7 linked regions of the Rattus norvegicus genome follow. The protein of the gene in region 3 interacts with the protein of the main gene of each other region in a biochemical or structural test. Links are inferred from orthologs where the notes say so. Each region holds a gene or a part of one and is shown on either strand. Other genes may lie near its edges.

Evidence for each region.
Region 1: the proteins of Mapt (region 3) and Src form a complex in vitro, tested with the Homo sapiens proteins (3 studies listed by BioGRID and IntAct, with this or other methods). The link is inferred for Rattus norvegicus from reciprocal best matches to the Homo sapiens genes MAPT and SRC.
Region 2: the proteins of Mapt (region 3) and S100b form a complex in vitro, tested with the Homo sapiens proteins (2 studies listed by BioGRID). The link is inferred for Rattus norvegicus from reciprocal best matches to the Homo sapiens genes MAPT and S100B.
Region 4: the proteins of Mapt (region 3) and Apoe form a complex in vitro, tested with the Homo sapiens proteins (2 studies listed by BioGRID, with this or other methods). The link is inferred for Rattus norvegicus from reciprocal best matches to the Homo sapiens genes MAPT and APOE.
Region 5: the proteins of Mapt (region 3) and Hsp90ab1 interact in a biophysical measurement, tested with the Homo sapiens proteins (2 studies listed by IntAct). The link is inferred for Rattus norvegicus from reciprocal best matches to the Homo sapiens genes MAPT and HSP90AB1.
Region 6: of the proteins of Mapt (region 3) and Htra1, one has a biochemical effect on the other in vitro, tested with the Homo sapiens proteins (2 studies listed by BioGRID and IntAct, with this or other methods). The link is inferred for Rattus norvegicus from reciprocal best matches to the Homo sapiens genes MAPT and HTRA1.
Region 7: of the proteins of Mapt (region 3) and Ppp1ca, one has a biochemical effect on the other in vitro, tested with the Homo sapiens proteins (2 studies listed by BioGRID). The link is inferred for Rattus norvegicus from reciprocal best matches to the Homo sapiens genes MAPT and PPP1CA.

Annotation. Positions count from the first base shown.
Region 1 is NC_086021.1:166,543,312-166,547,487, reverse strand, and holds the start of Src (proto-oncogene tyrosine-protein kinase Src), read right to left. Parts: upstream 2,801-4,176; coding exon 2,551-2,800; intron 1,395-2,550; coding exon 1,295-1,394; intron 1,085-1,294; coding exon 1,067-1,084; intron 1-1,066. UniProt on the Homo sapiens protein: Non-receptor protein tyrosine kinase which is activated following engagement of many different classes of cellular receptors including immune response receptors, integrins and other adhesion receptors, receptor protein tyrosine kinases, G protein-coupled receptors as well as cytokine receptors.
Region 2 is NC_086038.1:12,378,282-12,382,542, forward strand, and holds the start of S100b (protein S100-B), read right to left. Parts: upstream 2,801-4,261; 5' UTR 2,689-2,800; exon of another isoform or gene 1,638-2,688; intron 929-1,637; exon of another isoform or gene 813-928; intron 1-812. UniProt on the Homo sapiens protein: Small zinc- and- and calcium-binding protein that is highly expressed in astrocytes and constitutes one of the most abundant soluble proteins in brain.
Region 3 is NC_086028.1:89,729,125-89,732,624, forward strand, and holds part of Mapt (microtubule-associated protein tau), read left to right. Parts: intron 1-2,888; coding exon 2,889-3,104; 3' UTR 3,105-3,500. UniProt on the Homo sapiens protein: Promotes microtubule assembly and stability, and might be involved in the establishment and maintenance of neuronal polarity.
Region 4 is NC_086019.1:88,481,900-88,486,192, reverse strand, and holds the start of Apoe (apolipoprotein E precursor), read left to right. Parts: upstream 1-1,493; 5' UTR 1,494-1,566; exon of another isoform or gene 1,567-1,606; intron 1,607-1,672; exon of another isoform or gene 1,673-1,727; intron 1,728-2,322; exon of another isoform or gene 2,323-2,341; 5' UTR 2,342-2,364; coding exon 2,365-2,407; intron 2,408-2,900; coding exon 2,901-3,069; intron 3,070-3,467; coding exon 3,468-4,194; 3' UTR 4,195-4,293. UniProt on the Homo sapiens protein: APOE is an apolipoprotein, a protein associating with lipid particles, that mainly functions in lipoprotein-mediated lipid transport between organs via the plasma and interstitial fluids.
Region 5 is NC_086027.1:22,929,112-22,933,222, forward strand, and holds the start of Hsp90ab1 (heat shock protein HSP 90-beta), read left to right. Parts: upstream 1-1,311; 5' UTR 1,312-1,356; intron 1,357-2,581; coding exon 2,582-2,728; intron 2,729-2,901; coding exon 2,902-3,108; intron 3,109-3,321; coding exon 3,322-3,481; intron 3,482-3,750; coding exon 3,751-4,111. UniProt on the Homo sapiens protein: Molecular chaperone that promotes the maturation, structural maintenance and proper regulation of specific target proteins involved for instance in cell cycle control and signal transduction. Undergoes a functional cycle linked to its ATPase activity.
Region 6 is NC_086019.1:194,952,069-194,955,568, reverse strand, and holds part of Htra1 (serine protease HTRA1 precursor), read right to left. Parts: intron 3,084-3,500; coding exon 2,984-3,083; intron 2,621-2,983; coding exon 2,416-2,620; intron 1-2,415. UniProt on the Homo sapiens protein: Serine protease with a variety of targets, including extracellular matrix proteins such as fibronectin. HTRA1-generated fibronectin fragments further induce synovial cells to up-regulate MMP1 and MMP3 production.
Region 7 is NC_086019.1:210,913,371-210,917,375, reverse strand, and holds the start of Ppp1ca (serine/threonine-protein phosphatase PP1-alpha catalytic subunit), read right to left. Parts: upstream 2,801-4,005; 5' UTR 2,733-2,800; coding exon 2,678-2,732; intron 2,220-2,677; coding exon 2,088-2,219; intron 1,956-2,087; coding exon 1,725-1,955; intron 1,221-1,724; coding exon 1,116-1,220; intron 165-1,115; coding exon 1-164. UniProt on the Homo sapiens protein: Protein phosphatase that associates with over 200 regulatory proteins to form highly specific holoenzymes which dephosphorylate hundreds of biological targets.

The sequences.
Region 1 (4,176 bases), on a different chromosome or scaffold from region 3:
AGCACCAGGGTCACACCGCTTCTCCTCCTGGCCACCAATTCTATCAACAGCTGGGGACATGGGGACTCAGGGGCTTCCCATGAGGATGGAAGGAGCGCTGGCCACTGAAGGAGGTACTGAGGAGGCCCCTCCCCAGGTGCCAGTCCAGAGAAAGGAGAGCAGGCTCCATTCTGGGCTTACTACTTGGCAGTCACGTGACCTCTGACAAGGGCCTTCATGACTCTGAGCCTCAGTTTCCTCGTTCACAAACTAGAGCAGCCCCTCCCCCGTCACTGCTGCCCCCAAGACCAGTGATAACAAGATGGAGGGGTATGAATGAGAGTGGCCAGAACAGCACATGGCACCTGCTTGCAGGGAGGGCAGCCCTACCCTGGATCTTGAGGGGTGAATAGGAGTTCACCAGGTGGATACAGGAGAAGAAATATTTCAGGCAAACGGAGTAGCATGCACAAGGATCAGGAGGTATGAGCACCGAGACACGCATAGGGAAATGGAAAACCCACCTCTTTAGCCAGGACTTGGGAGCACTCTCTGACGGATCCTCTCTACCCTCCAGAACAGCTCAGATCAAAGTCCCCAAGCCTTACCTGCTCCAGGGAGAGGTCCTCAGCCCAGCACAGACCATCAGCTGCCCCCCTCCCAGGGAGACTGCCCACCCTTACCTGCAGTAGCTTACTGTCCTTCCTTGGATGGGCAGTCCGATAGAGACAGCCCCCTCTCTCAGGGTCATCTTGCAGGGACCCCAGACTGCTCCTACCCACCCCTGGCCTAGTCTGGGGTAACCCATTCCCCACCACACTGCCTCCCTCCCTGGCCTCCAGAATACACTGGGTCCTGCAAGTAGCTGGCACCCAGTCATGGAATCACACACCAGAAGAGGGAGGAAGAGAGCTAACGGGAAGGTGTGGGGAGAAAATGGAGGGTCGGATCAAACAGGTGGGATGCAGGATAAGCTAAAAGGACAGGGAGAGAGCTGGAGACACACAGGGGTAGTGGAGGAAGCACATGCAGAGAGCAGTCCCCAGCCTCAGCGAAGCATCCCCCTCTACCTGGCCTCGGTACACACCTGACATCCACCTTCCTCCTAAGGGCCAGCGAGAGAGAAGCAGAGAGAAGGAGAGGCTGAGGTGCGAAGACAGGACCCAGGACAAGGGAGGAGACTAGTCGGGGTCTAGGGAGGACCACCACCCACCAACTGCAGAAGCAGCCCTGTAGGCTCTGCACCGCCCTCTGCCGGCAGCTCTGGGTATAGATGGACCCACGCTCCCAGTGCAGTCCCCGTCCATCCACTCACGTGTTATTGACAATCTGCAGCCGCTCCCCTTTCTTGAAGGACAGGTCAGTCTCTGTCCGTGACTCATAGTCATAGAGGGCCACAAAGGTAGTCACCCCACCTGCAGAGTGGGATGGGAGGTGTCAGAACCCTGCAGGGGGTGGGCGTGGGAGGCTGCCTTTCTCACTCACCAGCCTGTCCCTGAGAGGGAGCTAAGTAGCCTGTGCCTCCCTGCCGGGCTGCAGACTAGGTGCTCCTTATCTGATATGTCTACTGACACAAGCAGAAGCCCCAGAGAACAGGTTCCCTTGCTCTGCACTCAGACCCAGCACACAATAGGTGCCCTAAGCCCCGCCTATATGTGTGCCTGGCAACTTAAGGCTTTGGTGCAAAGCTTCAGGACTCTTCTCCTGATTCTCCCCTCACCCACGGCTGCTCCTTGGACTCCTGCAGCCCACCCTCCGTTGCCCAAGGCTCCACAAACGCCTCTCAAATGGTCGAATGGGTGTGTGGCTGCATGGCAGGGAGTGGGCAGCCTGTCCAAGGGTCTGTGGTGGGATGTGGGGCTGGGAACCTTAGCCCATGTCTGCTTTCTGCGTGCAAGCAGGCGCACAGGCCCACCTGAGGGGGCGAGGTTGTATGCACACCTGTGTCTGTGTGTGCTCCGCACTGCAGGCGTCTAGCCTAGGTGTGTCTCTAGGAACACTGGGGGCCTTTTGTTGTTGTTGTCGTCTCCACTCAGTGCGAGGACATGCCCAATGTGGGCACATAGCATGGCTGAGTCTGGGTGGGATCTGAACGAGTGGGTGTGCAGCCGTGCGTGTGGCTGAGTCCGAGTGCGGGATTTGCACGCACGGGTGTGCAGCCGTGAGTATGGCTCCGTCAGAGCGTGGGATTTGCTCGTGTGGGTGTAGCCATGTATGCAGGAGCATGAGTCACCCTGCTCAGCCCCTGGGCGGCAGGGTTGCCGCACCACGCAGCGCCAGCAGAGGGCGCAGGGGCGCACTCGGGCCACCACACAACAGAGCCAGGAACAAAGGCTGGGCGGGAGGTGGCAGCTAGTCCATGGTGGTCCTTCTCCTCCGGGTCTCGGGGTCCCCTACAACCCTCTCCTTCGGAACCCGTTATACTCTGAATCTGGCATCCCCAAAGCGGCAGGAGCCCCGCTTTCCAGTTTACGAGCCCTTCTCCATTCGCAGCCTCTGGAAAACCAAGTCCCCAGAACCCAGAAAGGGTGCACCACAGCTCTGGGACACTCAGCAAGGAGGAGGGCCTACCTGCCAGAGGCCCCGCCCTTTGTGGGGAGGTGACAGTGTCCGAGGAGTTGAAGCCTCCGAAGAGCTTGGGCTCGGCGGCCGCGGGGGGCACAAAGGCGGCATTGGGCCCGCGGTGGCCATCGGCGGAGGCAGGCTTGCTTGGTGTCTGTGAGGCAGGGAAGGCGCCACCTGCCCCATGCACGTTCTCCGCGGGCTCCAGGCTGCGGCGCCTCTGGCTGGCGTCCTTGGGCTTGCTCTTGTTGCTGCCCATGGTCCTGGCTGGGGGCGACAGAAATCCCCCAGGTAGAGGAGAGATCTGGGAACAGACAAGACACCCTACCCACTAAACAGATAGGCAGACTAAGGTCCTGAGAAGGGGACCCTGCCACCCTGGGAGAGTTCGTCTCACAGTTTCACCTGTAAAATGAGATGTTGGCGCCTTAGGACACAGCTACAGATAGAAGACATATATACCAGTCCAAAGCCCTGGGTCCAGCAGGACCCAAAGTCAGCTTTAGTCTTTCATAGGCAGGGACACGAGTCATATCTGTGTCCCCAGCACATAGGAGGGACTCATTTAAGTTTTGCTGAATGAATACATGTCTGACAAGTTGTCTAACACTGGGGGAAAGGTGTTAAAAGTGTTAATTGAAGCAGCAGTATAGTGGCTTGAAGAGGAGATGGCCAGGCCTTCCAGCCACAAGACCTTTGCAAATTCCCTGACAACTTCCCCTCCTGTGATGGTTTGTATATGCTTGGCCCAGGGATCAGCACTATTAGAAAGTGTGGCCCTGTTGGAGTAGGTGTGTTACTGTGGGTGTGGGCTATAAGACCCTCATCCTAGGTGCCTGGAAGCCAGTATTCCGCCAGCAGCCTTCAGATGAAGATGTAGAACTCTCAGTTTCTCCTGCACCATGCCTATCTAGATGCTGCCATGTTCCCACCTTGATGATAATGGACTGAACCTGTGAATATGTAAGCCGGCTCCGATTAAATGATTAAATGTTGTCCTTATGAGAGTTGCTTTGGTTGTGGTGTCTGTTCACAGCAGTATAACCCTTACTAAGACATCTCCCCAATCAGTTTACTTCAACTCTCAGCTCAAAGTCACTTCCTGGGTTGGGGAGATGGCTCAGCAGGTAAAGGCACCTATCATAAACCCTGCTGACCTCAGTTCAGTCCCCAGAACCCACATGGTGGAGAGAGAGATGGGAGAAAGGGTCCTGCAAGCTGTCCTCTGACGTCTGACCTTCACACATTCGTGGTTCACATACATGCCTTCCCATAAGCGCACAGAAGAAAGGAAGAAGGGAGAGAGGGAGGGAGGGAGGGAGGGAAGGAGGGAGGGAGGGAGGGAAGGAAGAGCAAGCAACAAAAATGTTTCAAGTCATATCCTTTAGAAGGGGGTCTCCAAATCCTTTCAGGAGCCCCCAGACTACTGTACCAGCCTTGGCTATATGTAACCCCCTCTCCTTTTAATTCCTGGTGCGCACAGAGTGAGGTACACAGCAGGTGCTTAATAAACAACCAAATGAAAGATGAAAGGGAGAGAAAGTTTGAGAGGTCCTGAGACCTCGACACAGAGGGACCAAGCAGAAGGCTTCATGGCACCCAATGCCTGCTAGCCTCCACATCCATGCTCAACCC
Region 2 (4,261 bases), on a different chromosome or scaffold from region 3:
GGTCCTAAGTTCAATTCCCAGCAACCACTTGGTGGCTCACAACCATCTGTAATGGGATCAGATGCCCTCTTCTGGTGTGTCTGAAGACAGTGACAGTGTACTCACATACATAAAATAAATAAATACCTTTAAAAAAAGACCTAACAAAGCTCATTTTCATATGAATTAATATATCCGTTTAAGATTTTAAATAAAAACATGAGGTTTTTTTTGGATGAGGTGGGGGCAAACAAAAAAAATAGACTGAGGGGTTGGGGATTTAGCTCAGTGGTAGGGCGCTTGCCTAGCAAGCACAAGGCCCTGGGTTCGGTCCCCAGCTCCAAAAAAAAAAAAAAAAAAAAAAGTAGACTGTAAAATTCATCCGGATTAAAGGTATCCCTGTACCAACTGTTTTGAAAAGTAACAGTGAAGCGACCTTGCAGCAACACGGACTCCAAGGTCATATGATTCTCCTGGCATGCTGACAAAGGGAGACCAAGGCACAGCCCAGCGTTCTGTGCTTACTCATTAGCCTGGCCTCAGAGTACAGCAGCTTCTTTGTGAACAGGCATGCGTGCCTGCGAGAAGCAAACAGCCTTCAAGAGAGCACCTGATGCAGCAGCCACAGCCTGGGGAATCGGGGATGGCTGCTCAACTCTCTGAGAGAGAGGCGGCCTTGGGCTCATTTCAGAGACCAGCTACTTAGGCAGAGACAGCTCCTGGCCTTGAGTTCTGATCCTTAAGCCAGAATCTGCACCGTCATAAGTAAACAAACAAAAGACACTCAAAAGTCATTTCCATGATGAACATATTAGATTTTAGTAACTTCTTACATTTTTTATGAACGATCTCAGCAAGAGAAAGGAAGGTTTTTGGCCTTTGTTGACCCTCTGGTTCCTCAGTTTGCTCGTCTTTTCCAGATACCTGAAGTACCTCCCATAAATAGAACCTGAAGGGATAAGAGGTGATGCTCTCTCTTGGTTTCTTAACTTGTGTTTTCCGTTCTTGTTGGTCTTTTAGCTAAAAAGAAACTCGTGGGGTTGGGGATTTAGCTCAGTGGTAGAGTGCTTGCCTAGCAAGAGCAAGGCCCTGGGTTCGGTCCCCAGCTCCGAAAAAAAGAAAAAAGAAAAAAGAAAAAGAAGAAGAAGAAGAAAAGAAGAAGAAGAAGAAGAAGAAGAAGAAGAAGAAGAAGAAGAAGAAGAAGAAGAAGAAGAAGAAGAAGAAGAAAAGAAACGCGTGTGTGTCTGGGTGTTTTGCAGGCTGGTATGTGTGAGCATGCATGGTGCCCACAGAGAGGCTGGGAGAGTGTCAGATCCCCTGGAACTGGAGTGACAGGCAGTTGTGAGCTGCCAGTGTGGATGCTGGGCTGAGCCATCTCTCCAGCCCTGGTTACCTTTTTTTTTTTTTTTTCCTCTTTTCTTTTTTTTCTTTTTTTCGGAGCTGGCAAAGTGCTAGGCAAGCGCTCTACCACTGAGCTAAATCCCCAACGCCCCTGGTTACTGTTTTTCTTTGTTTGGTTTTTTTATGAAACATTTAGTGGCATGAAAAGAGTGGTGGGGAAGGGAGGGGAAAAGAGGGGAAGGGAGGGGAGGGGAGAGGAGGGGAGGGGAGGGGAGGGGAGAGGAGGGGAGGGGAGGAGAAGCCAGGCGCAGAATTACCTGCCTGTTTTTCCTTTTCAGATTGACACGAGGTCTCACTGTCCCCAAGTTTTCTCCTAAATCATGATCTTCTTGCCTCTACTCTCCCGAGGGTTGGCTCGTACCCAGCACAGTTATTGATTTAAAAAAAAAAAGTCTCCAGAAACTCTGCATCATACTGATATTGCTCAAAGTCCTAACGGCTGGGGGAGGGAAAGGCTAAATGATCTTTTTGTGGATAAGGACTAAGGCTTAAGAACAAACGGTGTCACACCACATCCCATGTGCTAGGAAAGTCCGTAAAATTTGAGTTTTCTCACGACTACATTAGACATTCCAAATTTTCCCCTATTCTTTCAACTAAAGAAGTTAGTTGTCTGTCTCCTAAGACAAATGGAGGAGACTTTATAAAGAAAACACAGGGCTTGAGCTTCTTGGAATGGTACTGCCTGTCCGGGGAGGGGTTCCCCACAAAGACTGCCCCTCCCCAGGAGGGGTAACAGAGAAGTCAGGGCCACTCCCAAACCCTCATTTCTCTGCCCCAATTCATAATGATCTGAAAAGATTCAACTACTTTGCAATTTTTTTTTTTGAGCGGTGTCTGGAGATGTAGTTCTTGGCATTTCAAAGAGGGAAACTGGAAAAGCTCACCTGGGTGCTCCAGGGACCCCCGGGAAAAGCTACCAGGAGAAAGGGAGCGCTGTGGTTGGGGATTTGGGGTGACTCTATTCCAAGAAAGAAAATCCTTCCCTTAGGACGTAGAGAAGAAGCCCTAGATGCCATCTCTGAAAACATCAGTAGTCATTCTGAATCTTGAAAAAATGACCCAAGGGATCTCTGGCTTCACGAAAACAGGGACAGACACAATTCCATGGCAGCACAGATGTCAACAACTGTCACAAGGAAACAAGAAAGGCGGCCTCATCGGAAGCCTTGGAATGCAGCCAAACGTCCCCAAAGGTTTTCTAAAAAGTTTCAAAGCTCAATTCCCATCCTATCCCCTTCACCCCCTCACCCTGCAAAGAGAGAAAGAAGCGGTTTTTCTTGGGTCCTGCCAGTGACTCTTTCTCACCTCCTGGTCACCTTTTGCCGCCGGAGTCCTCTCTGGCTTCGGTGTCCGAGGACTAGGAGGGTAGACAGAGAAGCTCCTTTTTCTTCCTCCAGAGAGGACTGGGTGTGGACTTGGCGCAGTCCGCTGCAGGCTGAGACTGCGACTGCCAATAGGGGCCAAGGTTAGGGAGGAGCTGGACAACCACCGGGCCTGCATACAGGGCCCCATTGAGTGGTACCCTGGGGACCCACTGGGCAGCCACAATTGGATCTGATCTAGAAAGAATATGGGTCTGTTGGGCAGGAAATGTGGAGTCAGCTTCTCTGTGCCGTTTAAATTTAGGATATGAATATTGATGCTGTTCCAGAGGCAAGATTGGGGGGCTGGTGGGAAGAGGGGAGAGACAGCGTGGGTGAATTGATTCAAACAGCAGATACGCAGCCAAGAACTGGAAACTTCTGGTGCTGAGTGCTGGAGGCTGTGTGGCTATGGCTGGCTTCCAAGGAGGCCTCTTGAGCATCTTGCCTGCCTGCCAGCTTTCTGGTCCCCTCCTACAGGTATGCCATGCTGTGGCTGGTGATGCTGGGCAGTGGTTACCCCCAGACTCCTCTTTGAACCCAGTCTTCTCAGGGACCAGGGTGCGGTAAGTTTCTTTCTAACTTAGTACTTTTGCACAGAGGGAAAGACACGCCAGCTGTGTCTTAGGCCTCTCTCCCTTCTCACCCTGGTCAAAGGTTGAGCTGTCTGCACCAGAAATGCTTTAGAGATGGCCCGTCCTGTGCTCTTTTCACATAGGGAAGAAACGCTGTGCCTCTTGTCACAAAGGCACAAAACTAACCCAGAAGACTCCCCAGTGGAGGATAGCTTAGTCACACACGTCCCTTTGCACCTCGAGTCCGGAGTGTCTGTGGGAAGAGCTACATGACAAAAGTCACCCAAATATCACAGAGACCAAGAAGTTGACTCGACATGCTAGAGGTAGAATGAAGTTTTCCTGCCCTGGAATGTAACCTTTTCTTGAGGAAAGGTTAGCTTTGGGGTGGAGGTATAAACCCCTGCTCTGGTTCGACTCACCATTTATCTATAGGAGATCAAAGCCACTGGTCCCCAAAGATTAGGTCCCCTAATCTTCTTAGTCATCAATAGACAATAAAAGGGAGCTGACTGGGGGAGACGGTTATGATAATCATGGCTGGGAAGAGACCCTTACTTTGTGATGTCGCTTGGGGTACCGGATGATCGAGGCTTCTCTGACCCCTCCCTAGCTGTCTTCAGTCAGTTACACTGACTTTAAGTAGAGATCTTCAAACCCGAGTGCATGAACATACACACGTGTGTGCATGCGTGCGTGCGTGAGTGTGTGTGTATGTGTGTGTTGATCTTCAGATCCCAGACAAGCCCCCACAAATGTTACAGGAGTCCTATGGAGTGGACAAAGAGTTCTACATCCTGGAAAGAAGGCACACTCAAGAAAGTGAAGTGACAGTTGGAGAGCAAGACGGGCCGCCGAGGTATGGCAGTGGAAGATCCAAAGTCAGAGATGTGAAAGCAATCCCTACACCCCAGTGAGAGTAGGAGAGATCTCTGCCGCTCC
Region 3 (3,500 bases):
ATTGTTCCCCACCTATGTTCTGTGTGTGTGTGTGTGTGTGTGTGTGTGTGTGTGTGTGCGCGCGCGCATGTGTGTGCGTGTGTGTGTGTGCACATGTGTGTGTTACATGCACATGAGCATACAGGTGAGCACAGCCATGCACGATGTGCAGAGTCCAGAGCAGAACATCAGGTGTCTCCCCTTTCACTCTTGAGACAGGGTCTCTCACTGAACCGGAAGCTTGCTGGTTCACTGAGCTTGCTAGGCTGGCTCGGTGAACTCCTGGGATATATCTGGTTGCACCCCTCAATGTGGGGGTTACAGGCTAGCATGCACACCATGCTCTGCTTTTTTAACTTAGGCGCCAAGGAACTCAGGCCTTGGTGCTGGCAGAGCAAACTTTTGCAAGCACTCCTACCCACCGAGCCATCTCCCCAGCCCCGGCTTGTTTTTTTTGAAGCAAGATATTACTATTAATCCCAGGCTGGCCAGGAACCAGCTGTCCCTCAGTCTCTCAATTGCTGGGATGACAGGTGTGTGCCAGCCATAATATTTTGCTATTCCAGAGTGCTTCTACATGCCAGTGGCTGTACCTTTGCAGCGCCCACCTCAGGATCTACCTACTCCCTGTTGATGCCTGTGGAGGCTCTTCCATTTTTCTCAAGTTACAAATAATGCTGAGTATGAATAACCTTGAGTGACCTCACACATTTTACATGTTGTGTTTAAGTGTATCCTACAAATGTAATGTCTGTCTGTCTGTCTGTCTATTTGTCTGTCTATCTATCTGTGCTGGGGATAGAACCCATAGCCTCAAGCATGCTAAGCACATGCTCTACTGTAAATGTACTTTTCATTGGCTTGATGTAATTGTTATCTTGGAGGCTTATTGTGTCAGTCTGCTAAACTAAGCCTAGTCCCAGACGCTTCCAGTCTCTGTACAATGTAATCTAGGCCTAGAGTGTTTTCAGCCTCTGAGACTTACTGCTGCATAGGCTCACCCTTTCTTGTTCTTTCTGAACTCTGGTTGGCTGGCTCAAACCTACTCTCCTAGCTGACTGATTCAAACTGACGTCTTTCTGCTTCTCACTGAATTGCTTTGCCTGGCCTCTAACTCTGGCAGTCTATTTTAATCTTCTGGCTCCTTTTTTTCTCTGGCTTGTTTTGCCTTCACCTGTGTCTAGTTGGTTCTCTCTTCAACCTGTCTCTATAAAACTCTCCTGGTAAAATTGCCTCCTCCCTCTCTCTTCCCCTGCTCTCACAAGTTGCCTCTCTTTCCTCTCTGTTCTTGTGAGAGTTAGGCATATCCTATCTCTGACTCATTCTGTCAAATCTTCCTCTGCTTCGTCACTTTGTCTGTCCCTCAATTGGACATCACTTTCAAACATGTCTGCTTCCTTCTACAAACTAACTTTACCTTCATTGTTTGGGATTAGAGGTGTGTACTAAGGGTATGTGTGTATTCCATCTAGATCACACAGAACCTAGAAGGTCTTTGGATATGATCAGAGCAGCCACATTGCTGGATTAAAATTCCTTTATGTTCAGGAAGCAGATCTCCTGGAGTTGAAAGCCAGACTGGTCTACATAGTAATTTCCAAGCAGACCAGAGCTACATACTGATATCCTTCCTCACTGTAGATAAATAGGTATATTAACAAAAATTAATGGACAATAATGAAGCAAGTATCCAGTGTGAAAATCAAAATGCAAAGCCCTATGGATATTGTCCCATATGGGTTAAATATATGTGTTGCCGGGATTTGAACTCAGGACCTCTGGAGGAGCAGTCGGTGCTCTTAACCACTGAGCCAGATCTCCAGCCCTCATATCAGTTTCTATAGGTGTGGAATATTTAAAGAACACAGAAGCAATGGTGACAGTCATTGGGCAGCCAGGTGTGGGATGGACCACGCACAACTATTGCTAATTGGGAAACAAAAACAAGTAGGTGGTGGCTCCTGAGGATGCAACTTAGTTGGTAGAGTGATTTTCTAGCAGGCAGGAAACCCTGGGCTGGACAATACCATTACATACACTAGGTGTGGTGGCACACGCCTGTGACTTCAGCCTTGGGGACAAAGAGGCTGGAAGATCCAAAGTTCGAGGTAATCCTCAGCTGGATAGGGAATTCCAGGCCAGCCTGGGCTATATGAGAGCCTCTTATAAGAATAAGTAAATACAGGGCGTGGTGGTACAGCACTTGGGAGGCAGAGGCAGCCCTGAGTTCAAGGTCAGCCTGGTCTATAAAACAAGTTACAGGGCTGGAGAGATGGCTCAGCGGTTAAGAGCACCTGACTGCTCTTCCAGAGGTCCTGAGTTCAATTCCCAGCAACCACATGGTGGCTCACAACCATCTGTAAAGAGATCCGATGCCCTCTTCTGGTGTATCTGAAGACAGCTACAGTGTACTTATATATAATAAATGAATAAATAAATCTTTAAAAAAAAAAAAAAAACAAGTTACAGGACATCCAGAGCTACACAGAGAAACCCTGTCTTTTTTTCTTTTTTAAGATTTACTTTATTGGGGTTGGGGATTTAGCTCAGTGGTAGAGCGCTTGCCTAGGAAGCGCAAGGCCCTGGGTTCGGTCCCCAGCTCCGAAAAAAAGAACCAAAAAAAAAAAAAAAAAGATTTACTTTATTAATTTTATGTACACCATTGCTGTCTTCAGACACACCAGAAGGGGACCTCGGATCCCATTACAGATTGTGATCCTGAGCCACCATGTGGTTCCTGGGAATTGAACTCAGGACCTTGGCAGGAGTCCTGAGCCATCCATCTCTCCAGCACGAGTAACCCCGTTTTAAAAACAAAAACAAAATGAATGAATGAATGAATGATTTCCTACCCCCACAATCGAATTTCCCCCGGCCTTCTCATTAATCTCACCCTCTACTTCTTGCAGATTGAAACCCACAAGCTGACCTTCAGGGAGAATGCCAAAGCCAAGACAGACCATGGAGCAGAAATCGTGTACAAGTCACCTGTGGTGTCTGGGGACACATCTCCACGGCACCTCAGCAACGTCTCCTCCACGGGCAGCATCGACATGGTGGACTCTCCACAGCTTGCCACGTTAGCCGATGAAGTGTCCGCCTCTTTGGCCAAGCAGGGTTTGTGATCAGGCCCCTGGGGCCGTCACTGATCATGGAGAGAAGAGAGAGTGAGAGTGTGGAAAAAAAAAAAAAAAAAAGAATGACCTGGCCCCTCACCCTCTGCCCTCCCCGCTGCTCCTCATAGACAGGCTGACCAGCTTGTCACCTAACCTGCTTTTGTGGCTCGGGTTTGGCTCGGGACTTCAAAATCAGTGATGGGAAAAAGTAAATTTCATCTTTCCAAATTGATTTGTGGGCTAGTAATAAAATATTTTTAAGGAAGGAAAAAAAAAAAAACACGTAAAACCATGGCCAAACAAAACCCAACATTTCCTTGGCAATTGTTATTGACCCCGCCCCCCCCCTCTGAGTTTTAGAGGGTGAAGGAGGCTTTGGATGGAGGCTGCTTCTGGGGATTGGCT
Region 4 (4,293 bases), on a different chromosome or scaffold from region 3:
GGTCACTAAAGTGCTTTTCCGTGGAGCTGCATTCCAGCCCCAGCTCTGATGTGTGTGTGGTCACATCTTCAAATTGGGCCTGCATGCCACCACTGCTCCTCCTGGCACCCCACTGGAGGAGAAGACTCAAGATGAACTGGTCAATGACCCTCTAGACCGCAACACTGAAACCCTTTTTACTGCCATCTGGAGATGGAAGCTGGCCCTTAGTAACCCATGAAAATCATCTCACCACACCCACTCCTTGTCAGTGTTTTAAGCCAAAACTAACAGGCCTGGGCCCGGCACCCTGTACCCTTGGAACCAGGTGTTCCACCTCTTCCCATCCTGCGGAGTCATGTGTTGCCATATCTGCTGCCAAGCCTTGTTAGGAGGCTTCTCCTACTGCCACCCTCTGAGCAACAGCTGGGAATGGGAACCCCTGTGCAGGCGGCACTTCAGCAAGCATCCGAGTGGTGTGTGAGCCCTTGGCCCTACCTGACAGCCCGGTAACAGCAGCCTTGCCATGTGCTAGCCTGGGCTCTGTTCTATTACCTGAGCTCAGGGGATCCTCCTGCCTCAGCTCTGCAAGTGACTAGGACTAGAGGCACATGTCCCCATAAATAGCTGTTCTTCTGGCTTGTCTCTTAAGTGTGTTGGGTGTTTTGCCGGCATGTATGTCCCTGTAGGGCTGTCAAATCTGGGTGTTGAGTTGCGAATGCTGTGATTTAAATCTGGGTCCTGTGGAAATGCAGTCAGTGCTCTTAACCTCTGAGCCATCTCTCCAGCCCCTACACTTCTTTCATGAAGAAAAGGAAAAGTGCTTGGAAAAGGCAAATGCATGTGCCGAGGGGCACACCTGCAACCCCAGCATGCCACAGCAGAGGCAAAAGGACCTTTGTGACTTTAAGGGCAGCCCGAGGATCCGATCGCAAAACAACTTGAAAGTTGTGCTCAGTAGGGGTGGGGATAGCTCCCCCTCCCAAGATTATACATCCGGCAACCGCCAGAAACAGGACAGTAGCATCAACACTTGGGTTCCCAGGGCTTGACAATGTATGGCTTCAAATCCATTGGGAGCCACCACTGAACAGCTCCTGAAGGAAAGGAGCATGTCCCCAGCCCGGGGATGGGGAGAGTTCACCCGTGGCAGAGGAATCAACAAAGAGGGGCCAGGGCTAAAACTCAGTTTTCATCCCAGAAGCTGAGCCTCTTAACAGATAGAGCCCCCCACCTATTTCCATTTAAGCCTCCAGCCCTTTTCCGTACAACGAATGCACCAGACCCCGCGGGAAAGGGGAGAAGCAGTACTCAGTGCCCCAGCACCAAGGCCTGGATTATTCAATGAGGAGTCAGCTCCTTTTTGGGGGGGGGGGGGGGTCACAAGGCATCAAAACTCCACCTCTTTCCTCTGCCCTGCTGTGAAGGGGGGGGGGGAGAGCAACCCGCCTCGTGACAGGGGGTTGGCCCAGCCCGCCCTAGCCCTGAGGAGGGGGCGGGGCAGGGGGAGTCCTATAATTGGACAGGTCTGGGATCCGGTCCCCTGCTCAGACCCCGGAGGCTAAGGAGTTGTTTCGGAAGGAGCTGGTAAGACAAGCTTGGGCTGGCGATTCACCCAGGGGGCTTGGTAAGACGTGGGCAGGGGACCTTGAAATCCGCTGGAGTCCAGGAAACAGGCACAATTATTAGAAAAGCAGGAAGCCCGATAGAAGACTTAGGGTGGCGGGGAGACAAACTAAGATCGTGAGGTAACTAGCCTTTGCCGGGGTCAGAACAGATGGAGGAGATGGAGGGGTCATCTCCAGGAGTATGGGACTGTCGGTGCACTGCATACGGGCTCAACTAGAAGGTAGTATCAATCTTTAGCGAAAGGACCCGCGATGAGCCTTAGGTTGCGTTTATATAAATACCTACTGATTTCCATCACAGTCCCCAAAATTACCCTGGGCCAGTTTCAAAGCGAAGATCCTCATGCCTGAGCGTCCGAAGTTCTGGGGTCGCGGGAGGGTACCACTTCGCAGGGATGGAGGACGATTAAAAACTTACATTAGTACTAAACCGAGAGCCCGGCTTAGCAGGGAAGGTAGAAAGGAATGTAAATTGGACCACCGGCTGTCCCTCTGCGTTGTGGAATTTGAACCCTAGGACTGGGAGCTGGAATTTTTGGCAGCGGGTCCACCCCGGGGTGCTGAGATAGAGATAGGAGGGGGAGGTAAATAGACCTTTGGGCAGATGCTCTATTGTGGAGATGTTTGTGATGACTCACAGACCTGAGAAGGGAATTAAGGTGGGGGCTCTTTGGGTGGCCCGAGTTTCTCCACCCCTACCCACTGGTGTTCAAAGACAGCTTTTCCTTCCGCAGACTGGCCAATCACAACTGGGAAGATGAAGGCTCTGTGGGCCCTGCTGTTGGTCCCATTGCTGACAGGTATGGGGCAAGGGGTGGCTTTCCCTGCTGGCAGGTTGGGGTTGGGGCAGTTCTGAGACCTCTGAGATTCAATAGCCCTGAGCAGCTGTTTTACATGCAGGCCTTGTCTTTCCCTATCCATAATATGAGAGGATTGATGCTCAGAGGGTAAAGGTGCTTGTCATAAAGCTCGAAGACTTATCTCGGAGCCCAACATGGTGGAAGGAGAGAGCGGATTCTCTCTAGTTGTCCTCTGACCTCCAAGGGTACACACACAGACACACAATTAAAAAGTTGAAGTGTGTAATTTCTTAGTCGCTTTTAAAGGGGAGGTATACATTTTCTAACCCCATACCAGCCTAGTCTCAGCTCTGTTCTACATAGGATACTAGACAGTGTATGCTTGTAGTATCTAAACAGACTCCACGACTGACTTCCAGACGCACTGTTGCTTCAAAGAGACCCAAGAGCACTGTAGGTCCTGACCCAGCCTTAAACTTACTACTCTACACAGGATGCCTGGCCGAGGGAGAGCTGGAGGTGACAGATCAGCTCCCAGGGCAAAGCGACCAACCCTGGGAGCAGGCCCTGAACCGCTTCTGGGATTACCTGCGCTGGGTGCAGACGCTTTCTGACCAGGTCCAGGAAGAGCTGCAGAGCTCCCAAGTCACACAGGAACTGACGTGAGTGCTCAGCGCTTCACCCTCCGCACCTGCTGAGTATCCAGATCCAGGGGTTCCTCCTATCTGGGCACCTACCTACTTGTTTCCTTTCTCCATGAGTGTGTGGGCCAGGTTGGCCTTGAACTCTCAATACTTCTGCTTTCTTTAGCCTTCTGGATACTGGGATGAACAGGCATTCATTTATGTTCTTGGTCGAATGGCTTTTGGCTTTTTGAGACAGGATCCCAATCTAACTTAAGCTGGCTTCGAAGGCTCTGCAATTCTCCTTCCTCAGCTTCTCAACTTCTGGGAATACAAGCGAGTACCACCGCACCTCGCTCTGTGGTTTCCTCCCACCCTAATTCTGACCTTTTTGTCTCTGCATTCATCTCCCTCTTGTGTTTCCTCTGGGCCTGCAGGGTACTGATGGAGGACACTATGACGGAAGTAAAGGCATACAAAAAGGAGCTGGAGGAACAGCTGGGCCCAGTGGCGGAGGAGACACGGGCCAGGCTGGCTAAAGAGGTGCAGGCGGCACAGGCCCGTCTGGGAGCTGACATGGAGGATCTACGCAACCGACTCGGGCAGTACCGCAACGAGGTAAACACCATGCTGGGCCAGAGCACAGAGGAGCTGCGGTCGCGCCTCTCCACACACCTGCGCAAGATGCGCAAGCGCCTGATGCGGGATGCGGATGATCTGCAGAAGCGCCTGGCGGTGTACAAGGCCGGGGCACAGGAGGGCGCCGAGCGCGGTGTGAGTGCTATCCGTGAGCGCCTGGGGCCACTGGTGGAGCAGGGTCGTCAGCGCACAGCCAACCTAGGCGCTGGCGCCGCCCAGCCCCTGCGCGATCGCGCCCAGGCTTTGAGTGACCGCATCCGAGGGCGGCTGGAGGAAGTGGGCAACCAGGCCCGAGACCGCCTAGAGGAGGTGCGTGAGCAGATGGAGGAGGTGCGCTCCAAGATGGAGGAGCAGACCCAGCAGATACGCCTGCAGGCCGAGATCTTCCAGGCCCGCATCAAGGGCTGGTTCGAGCCGCTAGTGGAAGACATGCAGCGCCAGTGGGCAAACCTAATGGAGAAGATACAGGCCTCTGTGGCTACCAACTCCATTGCCTCCACCACAGTGCCCCTGGAGAATCAATGATCATCCCTCACCTACGCCCTGCCGCAACATCCATGACCAGCCAGGTGGCCCTGTCCCAAGCACCACTCTGGCCCTCTGGTGGCCCTTGCTTAATAAAGA
Region 5 (4,111 bases), on a different chromosome or scaffold from region 3:
GGCGGGTCACCTCCAGAACCAAAACACTGGTGCAACTTGGTTCTGGCTCCTGGAACCCGGCCAACCTGTGACCAGCATCTTCATGCGGATACCTTAGAGCTCTCGTTAATCTGCAAAGACCGTGACCTCCTCCTCTCTAGGTTCAAAGAGCTGCAGTAGGGAAGAGGGCTAGCTAGAAAAGCGAAACCAGCTTGAGAAACAGCTTGTGCTCGCAAAGGGAAGGCACATGTCCCCGCGCGCCTTGTACGTGGGCGACCCGGGAGGCTGAGGGTTGGGGAGTGTTCTACCCAGTAGCGTTCGGTTTCCCGTCTCTGTTCACAGAAAGGTGTCCGCAGTCACTCACCCCCACAGCCCCCGTGCCCTGTGACCGATCCAGGTCAGCCATCCCTCCCCCCTCTGCGCTCCACACCTCCACAGTAATGTGGGCCTTCCAGGGCCACGAGTCGTACAAACGTAGCCCATGGTACAGAGACTTGGGGAAAATATTTCCCCAGGTTAAGATCGTGGCAGAGAAAAAGAACCAGCCGAAAGGCGATGAAGACACAGCCCCCGCCGCAGCAGGGGAGGTGGAGCCTCGGGGGGAGGGGTTGAGACCGCCGAGACAGGCCTAGAAACTGCTGGAAGAAATCGAAGCACCGCCACTGCTGCTCCTTCCGCCACAGGCCGCCAAAGAGTCCCTGCTAGCCCAGGCCCGCGCCCCTCCCCTCGGAGAAGCTGCTCCCCGCCTGCCGCTTCGCTGTACCGGGGAGGGTGGGGATCAGGGACTCCTTAAAGTTGGACAACGAATTTCTTATCATCCTTTTCTCTCGATGTGCGATTTGTAGGGAACATTCTAGTAAGATCGGGTCTGAAAATGGCAGCCGAATTGGTCACCTCCGTTCTCTTTCAGAAGTCCCTTGAGGACTGGACTCTTGAGGGTGGGAGCGCCTACATCGAATTTTCTGCGCGAGTCCGTGGGGTATTCGCCGCAGATACATCCCCTAATAGCATATGCATGCTCCCTGGCCATCTTGAGGGCTACATGTCCTACTCATGCAGAAATGAGGGTACCAAACGCTATTGAATTGGCCTTGACTCGCAGCCCAGGCCCGGGGTCCCGCTCTTCCCCGCCCCCTCCCCGGTCTGCGAGCATGACGTCAAGGTGGGCGGGCGGTGGCAGGTGCGTGGCTGGCAGCCACTCCTTTAAGGCGGAGGGATCCAAGGGCGGGGCTAGGGCTGTGCTTCGCCTTATATAGGGCGGTCGGGGGCGTTTGGGAGCTCTCTTGAGTCACCCCCGCGCAGCCTAGGCTTGCCGTGCGAGTCGGACGTGGTCCGGGCCCACCCTGCTCTGTACTACTACTCGGCTTTCTCGTCAAGGTAAGGCCGCGCTCTCCTGTACTTGGCGGCTCCGTGGGTCTTCTTCCTGGGGTCTCCGCCAACATCTCATCTGAACTAAAGGCTCCTTGTTGGGCTGGGCGGTCTGCGGGGATAATGTGCCTAGAATGTCTCCAGTGGCTCATGGTGGACCCCGGCGGGCTTGCACCGCGAGGCTCCCCCGGGGCCGGTGGATTCCCCAGAGCGTGAGGTGGGGGTGCGGCCGGGCCAGGTGGTGGGCGGCCGCACGTGGTAGCCGCCGACCCGGGACGCTGCCATGTTTGCCCTCCACTTCCGGGCGCGGCTGCAGGGTCCATAGGGTCCGCGCGGTGGCGGGCTGCTATGTGCATGACTCAGCAAGACGAGGTTGGCCTGGCTACCTCCCCCGGACGCGTTTCCCAACGTGTTTTGTTCTGGGGAGGGGTACAAGGGTTGGCAGGAACGCTTGAACCCACTGCGTTTGTCCCTTTCCAGATCTTTCTGCTGCCCTCCCCGTGGAGTGGGAGGAGAAACGGGGAGGGAGCAGGTACGGGGAGATTCTTAGGTCCCTCCCTTACTCCTCCCCTCCCGGGAGCTCAGATTGTTCTGGAAGCCTCGGGCGCCCCGCCCCAGTGCCCGGATGCTGGGGCGGTGGGAGGGCTACAGTGGCGCCCCCTCCCCGTGAGTCTCCTGGCGACGCATGTCCGGGTCGCCGGACGGCTGGGCCACCATTTTACTTGTGTTTGGGCCTATGCAAGTCTGCACAGTTCAGCGTTCATGGTGGAGCTTTTTACCTCTTTGTCCTGATTTAATTGCCCTTTGAGTCCTTCCAGAACTATAGCTTCGGGTTTTCTTGCCCTGCCGAGGGGAAGAGCACAAATCCGTTTACGGGAGGCTGCTCTTTCTGTTAAAGTTGATACTTAACCCCAGTGAAGAATGAAGAAGAAATTGGGGATCTTATTGTATAGTTAACTCAGTCTGGATTTTTACTATATCGGCAGGTGTTCTGTTCTGAGTCAGGGAGCTGAACTCTTAATATGCCGTTCAAAAAGTCTGACATTTGGACATTAGTTTGAAGAGCCATCCTTTGGGTTTTTTTCCATTCTTGATTTGTCTTGCCACTGTAGCTTTAAGGTCTTTCTTTTATTTCTTTCTTTTTTTAAACAAATGGCGGTTCTAGTCTTGGGAATGGGTACTACCCAGATTAAAGAAGTTTGAACTGAACTTTTAATAAGACTTTCATTCTTAGATGCCTGAGGAAGTGCACCATGGAGAGGAAGAGGTGGAGACCTTCGCCTTTCAGGCAGAAATTGCCCAGCTGATGTCCCTCATCATCAACACTTTCTACTCAAACAAAGAGATTTTCCTCCGGGAGTTGATCTCTAATGCTTCTGATGTGAGTGTTCTGTTGAATTTCTAAGACGCCACAGAAGAGTGTGAGTGAGTGAGTGAGTGTGAGAGAGAGAGAGAGAGAGAGAGAAGCAGGGAGTGATTAGAGTAATCCAGCAGTTGATGAGAAGGAACTGTTTGGATAAATGGAATAAGTGGCTGTGTACGTGTACATTACAGGCCCTGGACAAGATTCGGTATGAGAGCCTGACTGACCCTTCCAAGTTGGACAGCGGGAAAGAGCTGAAGATTGACATCATCCCCAACCCTCAGGAACGCACGCTGACTTTGGTGGACACAGGCATTGGCATGACCAAGGCTGACCTCATAAATAACTTGGGAACCATTGCTAAGTCTGGTACAAAGGCGTTCATGGAGGCTCTCCAGGTGCGTGTGTGGCCTTCCACCCATGCCATTCTCAATTTGTTACTGCTTCTGGCTTGCTAATTTAAAACTTGTCAGACTAGGATGTGTGGTCTGTCTTTCTAATAAGTACTTGTGGCCTAGATTCTGGAAGTTGAACTGATTACTACACTTGCTCAGCAAGCGGTTGTGCTTGTACAAGAACAGTTTTGCTCACTCTCTTACAACCCTTTGCAGGCTGGTGCAGACATCTCCATGATTGGGCAGTTTGGTGTCGGCTTCTACTCTGCCTACCTGGTGGCAGAGAAAGTGGTTGTGATCACGAAGCACAACGATGATGAGCAGTATGCCTGGGAGTCTTCTGCTGGTGGATCCTTCACTGTCCGTGCAGACCACGGTGAGATGGCAGTCTACGTTGGGTTGGTAGAATTCTCTGGGGGAAAGCCAGAAAGAAGCAGCCTTAATAGTTACTGTACTCTATAAAAGTACATTTTTGAGGGGTGAATGGCAGCACTTGGGACATGGCATACACGGGTGGTGGGTGAGTTGAGGCAAGCCAGGGCTGTGCAGAAACAGATCGCTTGAGAAACCAGGAACAAAAAAGAGGTGTACCTGTTTGTTGAGTATTTTAGTTGCAGTTTTTCATGTCTGGTTCACTCTCTGTAGGTGAGCCCATTGGCCGGGGTACCAAAGTGATCCTTCACCTCAAAGAAGACCAGACAGAGTACTTAGAGGAGAGGAGGGTCAAGGAGGTGGTGAAGAAACACTCACAGTTCATAGGCTACCCCATCACCCTCTATCTGGAGAAGGAACGCGAGAAGGAGATCAGTGATGATGAGGCAGAGGAAGAGAAAGGGGAGAAGGAGGAGGAAGATAAGGAGGATGAGGAGAAGCCTAAGATTGAGGATGTGGGATCTGATGAGGAGGATGACAGCGGCAAAGATAAGAAAAAGAAAACAAAGAAGATCAAGGAGAAGTACATTGACCAGGAAGAGCTGAATAAGACGAAGCCCATCTGGACCAGAAA
Region 6 (3,500 bases), on a different chromosome or scaffold from region 3:
CTACCACCAGACTCTAGACACCTTGCTCGCAGCATTCCCAAATGGGGACACGCCAACCTTTCCATGGGCTATTTAAGGTCATGCTAGTCCATCCCTGTGAAGGCCAGGCTCTGGGCCTGTGCAGTGGAGTTGGGTGCCTGGAATCTGCAGCCTGGCTCCCAGGAAGCTAGGGGTGAAAAGATAGAGAAGTGGTCTCTGAGCATTCTTTCTTCTCTTATAAAATGGGAATAACACAGCTATTCTGTGTATTAGAGAACGGTTAGATGTGAAGTCAGAGCCTGGACCAACTGTTTTGGTACCAATAAACACATTTAGAAAGATGAGCTGTTGGTAGAAATTTCACAGCAACTTAGCAGAAATAACACACATTTGTGATCACACTAAAGTCAGTCACCTACATGGGCCCAGAGCCTGTTCCTGCAAACTTCAGCCCCAGCCCTCACCACCCCAGCCTCTGAGAAGGTAAGGGAACAAGCTGGGTGTGAAAGGGGTTCTGAAAGGCTGCCTGGCGCTATAAAAGAAATAAAGGGACCCAGAGTCCTACTGCCCAACAGTACCCTGAGCTTTCATAGTAGGACTTCACACCTAGCTGACTTCATAGCTCAGTCAGATGAGAAGCAAGCTAGAGCTTCACAAGAAAATGCTACGCTTCATTACCCGCCCCACCCACGTCTTTTTCTGCACCAACCACAAAATTCCCACTGACCCTTCTACCTTCTTTCTGAAGGAATTTCCAATGGCAGGAAGAAAACAGAAACTCCAATCTCACCAGAAGTGCAAACAGACATCACATCACCATGAGGAGGACTAGGAATTTTTGCTGGTGATCCAGTAAGAACTGTATTCAGTTTCGGGCATGAAGGCCTCGCTAAACAAGTGTGGGAGGTGTGGCAGAGTGCTTGGCTAGCTCTCACAAAGCCCTGGTTTGGTCCACAATACTGTGTGAGCCCGGCTTGGTCCTACATGCCCATAATCCTCACATACACAAGATAGAGGCAAGGGAGTCAAAGGTTCAAAGCTATCCACAGATTATAAATGAAGGCAACCTGTGCTACTCGAGACCTAAAAATAAAAATAAAGGCTCTGCTGAGCAAAAAGTAACCATAAACAGAATATTAAATTAAAATTATTTTCTTTCTTTTCTTTTAATAAATTTTTTTGTTGGGTGTGGTAGCACTTGGGAGGCAAAGCCAGGAGGACCTCTGTGAGGTCAAGGCCAGCCTGGTCTATAAAGTGAGTTCTAAGACAGCTAGAACTTGAGACCTTGTCTCACAATCTCCAAAAAGTAAATAAAATAATAAAATTCAGATAGGACTAGAAGTAGTTACCCCAATAACCCACAAAGCAATTCCATACAAGCATTTTTCAAATGGAGCTCACTCTCACTGTGACTTAGTTTTGTACTGGCCCTGATTCTAAGTTCCCCACCATGGAAGGCTATAATTTGGGTAGATAGAGCACGGCAGCCCTTTTAAGGGGACTATGACCATGACATCATACTAAGGATTCTAAGGGACTCAAGGAAGAGGTGTTAATTTCGTCTTAAGGTTCCCAAAACCTTGAGTATAAAAAGCTTAATGAGCTGGAGAGATGGCTCAGTGGTTAAGAGCACTGACTGCTCTTCCACAGGTCAGGAGTTCAAAGTCCAGCAATCACATGGTGGCTCACAACCATCTGTAATGGGACACAATACCTTCTTCTGGTGTGTCTGAAGATAGCTACATTGTACTCATACATATATATATATATATATATATATATATATATATATATATATATATATATATACACATACATACATACATACATACATACATACATACATACATACATACATTAACAAGGAGCTGGAGAAATGACTCGGTAGTTAAGAGGACATACTAGTTTTGCAGAGACTCAGTGTCCAGTGGTTTATAACCCTGTAACCCCAGCCAAGGGTATCCAACATCTCTGTGTACACACCCACTTACAAACACAACATACAATTAAAAATAATTTTTAAAAAATTTAAAGCCCATTCTTTAGCCACAGAGACTCCAGGTTCACCTCAGTGGAAAGAAACATAACTTTGTAATACATGTTTCATCTCAAGGACCAGAGTTTCCATTCTCACCAGCTACCCAGTAACTTCTTTGTAGCTTGTTGCTTTATAAAGATAAAATGCTACTTTAAAAACCTCTGATCTGAGAGTGAGTTTCTTCCAAGGGCTTCTCTCCTCCCGGCTCCCTCCTCCTTCCTCCCTCCTCCTTTTCTCAGGTCTCTCTTTGATGAGACCTGTCTGGTCCTGCAGCTTCTGTGTTGTTGCTGAACGTTCTCCGAGTACCAGGGAGCTGATGTCCTCACCATCTCCACCTCACCTTCTGAGAGCTGGGTGCTGCAGGCCCAGAAGGCACTTGGGCCTCAGAAGCATCTCACCTGGTGGTCAATCTTGATAAGCGCAATGTCGGCCTTTTCATCCACATCCTTGATTTTGGCTTCATAAGTCGCTCCATTCTTCAGCTCAACCTTGACCCGGTTTTTGTTGGTCACCACGTGAGCATTTGTCACAATCAGTCCATCCTCCGACACAATGAATCCTGACCCACTCGCCACTGGCACCTCCCTCTTCGAGAAAGGAAGCCTGGAACAGACATTGGTTGAGCTTGACCAAGCCTCATTTGCACACACAAGTGAATGACCCCGCAAGCGCAGCTCGCACACATCTAGCGAGCGTTTGATGTCTTAAAAATAACACCGAGCTACTTTTTGGAATGCACCAAAAATATTTCCACTTAGGAAATATTCCCTAGGAATCACTTCAGAGCTAGAAGTTATTAAAACGCTTAAAGGGCCAAGAGTGTCGGTCTAAATAGAGGACTTTTCCTAAGGCAGAGAACTTGAGTGTAGTACAGGAGTCTGCCCGGTGACATTCCTGACACTTTAATGTGCTTCAAAAGCAGCTCTGGTGCCATTTATTACTGAGGGGAAAGGAAGGCCTCTTTACTTGCGATAAAGTTCAATGTGAACCACAGCAGGGGCGATCTTCTCCACCACATCAGCGATAAAGTTGTACTTATGACGCAAACTGTTGGGATCTTCCTGCCCTGGGGACAAAGGCAATGAGACAGTTTAGTGCTACTGAGCCTGTGCAGGGGGCCTGCAACAAGGTATAGGATAGAGGGAGCCAAAAACACATTACATATATGTGTGCCCACTCAAACACACAAACTCATACACATACATGCACTTACATACACATGTGTATACTCACATGTATAGAACATACATAAACATAGGAACACATATGCACATCTATGTAATCGTGCATAACAAGTATATGCACACACACATACACACACACACACACACACACACACACACACACACACACACACACACACGCTTCTCTGTGGAAGAGAAACAATCACTCCCTAGGCTCTGGGCTATGAGTAAGAACTGGGACCTTTCCAGTCCTCTTGTGACCCATCACAGCTGCATGTCCCCAGGCTCCCCCAAAAAGT
Region 7 (4,005 bases), on a different chromosome or scaffold from region 3:
GGCCCCAAAGGTAAAGGAGACTCCACGGTCATTCTCGCCCCAGCCTTGAACATCCTTGTCAGGGTCAGACCACAGCAGATCACACAACAGGCCCTGGTCAGGCACGTCCGTGGGCCGCATAATACGTCTAATCTGCTCCATGGATTGCAAGTCTGGAGACAGGCCTGGGGTGGTAGAGTGAGAATAGTGTTCCTTACACCGAAAAGCAGGTACTATCCCATGCCCAGAAAGGTCTCAGGGGTCAGCTCCACTTTCCCCACCAACGCTGGGTTCATCTTTTGGGCTCCTTAAGTTTAGGGAAACAGAGTTCATTATATTCCTGCTGGCCCCATTTCTCTATGTGGCCTTGGCTGTCTGGGAACTCCCTTTGTTTTTTTTGTTTTTGTTTTTGTTTTTTTTTTTTTAGGAATATGTTTTTTCAGTTTTTTTTTTATTGGATATTTTATGTATTAACATTTTTTTTTCCCGGAGCTGGGGACCGAACCTAGGGCCTTGTGCTTGCTAGGCAAGCACTCTACCACTGAGCTAAATCCCCAACCCAGGGAACTCCCTTTGTATGCCACCGCCACCTGGCCATCCCTCAGCTTTTAGAAGTACAAAGAGTACGGGCTGGAGAGATGGCTCAGCGGTTAAGAGCACCCGACTGCTCTTCCAGAGGTCATGAGTTCAATTCCCAGCAACCACATGGTGGCTCACAACCATCTATAAAGAGATCTGGTGTATCTGAAGACAGCTACAGTGTACTCATATATAATAAATAAAATAAATATTTAAAAAAAAAAAAAAGAGTAGACCTCCGTGGGGGAAGGAGATGAATGAGTTGCCTATAGCATGCTAAATACCACAACAGGAAAGCGCAGTCGAACTGGGGTGTGTAGCCAGGTGAGGTGGTGCAGGCCTTTAGTCCCATCACTTGGAAGGCAGAGATAACCAGAACTCTTGTGAGTTCCAGAACACAGAAAAACCCTGTCTCAAAAACAAACTGGGCTGTGGGTGACCTGTAATAAGTGACAGCCAAATTCAAGGAGAGCTACTCCAGGAAACAGGAGAGTTCTGTTAACTTTCCAAGGCCCCTAAGGATATAGCCCAAGCACAGACCCCACAACCATCCTGACCTCCGTGGCAGCAGAAGATCTTCTCATCTACAATGGCTGCAATGGGCAGGCAGTTGAAGCAGTCGGTGAAAGTCTTCCACAGTTTGATGTTGTATCGTCTCTTGCCTGCACAGAAGAAAATGGCTCGTAGGGAAGACCACCCACCACACAAAACCCAGTCTATAGTTTTCTGTGCACTCCTCCAGGGTACTTTGTGGGTTACTCTGACAAAGTGCAAAGACTAGAAGGCAAAGAAAGCTTATTACAGTTTCCTTGCTCTGCCCTCATCTACCTTCCAGAATTCCAACACCTGGGTCCACAAGAACCTGAACTCCAGTCTGGCCTAACCTCAGTGTCTGGTTTATTCATAACATGCACCCTAAATGCTTAGTAAGGGATGCAATAGAGGGAAGTGTCATCGGGCAGGGCTGTGGAGGAAGCTTTAGCAAACGGGCAGCCCTGCATGTACATCCATTCACCAGGCCCTTCCTTGGTGCCATGGATAACAGACAGCTTGGTTGGGGCTTTGCAGGACCCATCATCAGGGTTCTCAGCACTAGAACAATTTAGGGGGCCCATGAAGTGCAGGAAATGTAGTTCTGGGCAACCAGCAACATTCAAAGCACTCACATTCATCATAGAAGCCATAGATGCGGTTGATGCTGGCACACTCATGGTTCCCACGTAGTAGAAAGAAATTCTCCGGGTATTTGATCTTATAGGCCAGCAACAAGCAGATGGTCTCCAAAGACTGCTTTCCCCGATCCACATAGTCCCCCAAGAAGAGGTAGTTGCTCTCTGGAGGGAAGCCACCATACTCGAACAGCCGTAGAAGGTCATAGTACTGGCCATGGATGTCACCTGGGAACCAGAGAAGACTAGGTAGGTCCAAGATGTAAACTTGAACCCAGGGCCAGCAACGGAAACACAGGTACTGGGGCAGGAGTAAGGGGCTATTTTGAGGAAGCTAAGGGGTTCTGAGCAAGGGCTTACCACAGATCTTGAGAGGCGCCTCAAGCTCCAGAAGAATAGGCTGGCTCAGGAAAATCTCCCGGGATTTGAGGCAAAGACCACGGATCTCGTTCTCTGTCAGCTGCACATTCTTTCCAGGCCGTGAGCCCTGCACTGGGTACGGAATAGGGTCTTGGGACCCTGACCTCGCAGACCGAATGTCATGCGCCCCTCCCCAACACCAGCAACTGTTGCAAGGGAGCCCCCGCTGAAACCTTTGCATCAGGCCTTCAAAGGCAAGATACGACCCCTTAGCCACCCGGAGGCCCTCCAGAGACACGCCTGTGCTCAGCAGCCTGTCAACCGAAGCTTCCTCGCCTCAGAACCCCTTCCCAGCTAGCTTCGCAGGAGTCTCACCCTGAGTCTCGGCCACTCAAGCGTCCCCGGCCTCGGAGCGCGCTCCAAAGCCTAGGCGCAGGGAGTAGGGAGGGCTGCCGTGGCCATAGAACCTCACGGCCTGTCCCCGCCCAAGCGACGCTAGCCCCCGAGAGCGGCGGGCCCGCCCGCGCTCTACTTCCGGACGGCGATGGGCCCAGGCTCGGCGCGCGCGCACCTTCCCTACCCCTACCCACCTTCCAGCAGGCGCCCGATGATGGAATCCAGGTTGAGCTTCTCGCTGTCGGACATGGCGGCGCCGCCGCTCCGGCCCACCAGCTCCGGGCCCTCTCCTGCCTCCCGCCCTCTTGCAGCCTCCTTCCGGCCTGGCTCTCCTTCCGCCCTCCCCAGCCCGCCCTCGGCCCGCCGCCCCGCCTCTTCGGCCGGCCGCCCCGCCCTGCCGCGTCCGTAGTTCCCTGCTCTCTAGCGCCTCCCCTGGACCGGAAGCACTGCAGCCGGGGAGGGCCTCGGGCGGCCGGGCGAGGCCTGGCAGGGGTGGAGGGCGGGGTTTGTAGGGCGGAGTTGGGTCGGCTCCACCCAGGAGGAATCGCCCTGCTGCGTTCTGATGAGTTAGAACCGGAAGTACTGTAGAAATTGTTTTTCTCTTTCCAAGTCTCTTCCCACCCCAGCCCTGCGTGGGATTGTGGTGTGAGCATGTTAATCGCTGACTTCTCAAACACTGTAAAGTAATTCCTCGAAGTGCAGAAAAAGGAACTAAGGCTCAATGACACTGAGAGTGAGCTCCAAACCTCCAGAGCCTCACATTCACCTCGGTCTTTATGGCCAGACCCATGAACACCTGCTACTGAACTCGAAGCAATGTTTTGGTCCAGGTTGCCTTGGTGCCTGCTACGTCAGGTTTTTTTTTTCGTTAAGTGATGTAATACTATTTTATCTCCTTCCTGTTGTAAGTCCTTTGTAGAATGCTTGGACTTGTCTAGCATGTGCAAGGCCTGAGGTTTTATCTCCGGCTCTGGAAGGAAAGTAAAGAAAGAAAAGGGGGGAAAGGTATTATTTTTAAACAGTAACACATTAAAGAACCCAATGTATCATAAACCTGTAATTCCAGTGCCTGAAATTCCAGCACTCAGGAGTCTGGACACAGGAGGATCAGAAGTTCAGGGTCATGCTCAACTACATAGTGAGTTCATCTCCTGCCTGGGCTACGTGAGACCCTTGTTCCCAGACTGTACCCTTTCACTCTCAAAAAAGAAAACCCAGGACAGTGGGTTGGAGTGGTGGGACGACATTAAAGCATAATTATTACTGGAACCATGAGTTGGTTTTACACGCAAGTAACCTCAAAACCGATAGTGGCCTGTCATCTTCAACTTGGGCAAGTCGGGGACTCTTCACACCTCCCATCCGTGATGGGAGGAGTCCGTGGCTCAGGCACTAAGGCAAGCAGGAAGAACCTCATAGAGGAAGGGGGGAGTCCCCCCACCAGGGAGGGGCCCCCAATAGGCTGCTGAAGCTGAGACTGAGGAGGAAGTGAGAGGAGGAGGTGAGGTGCAGCAAGGAGGTG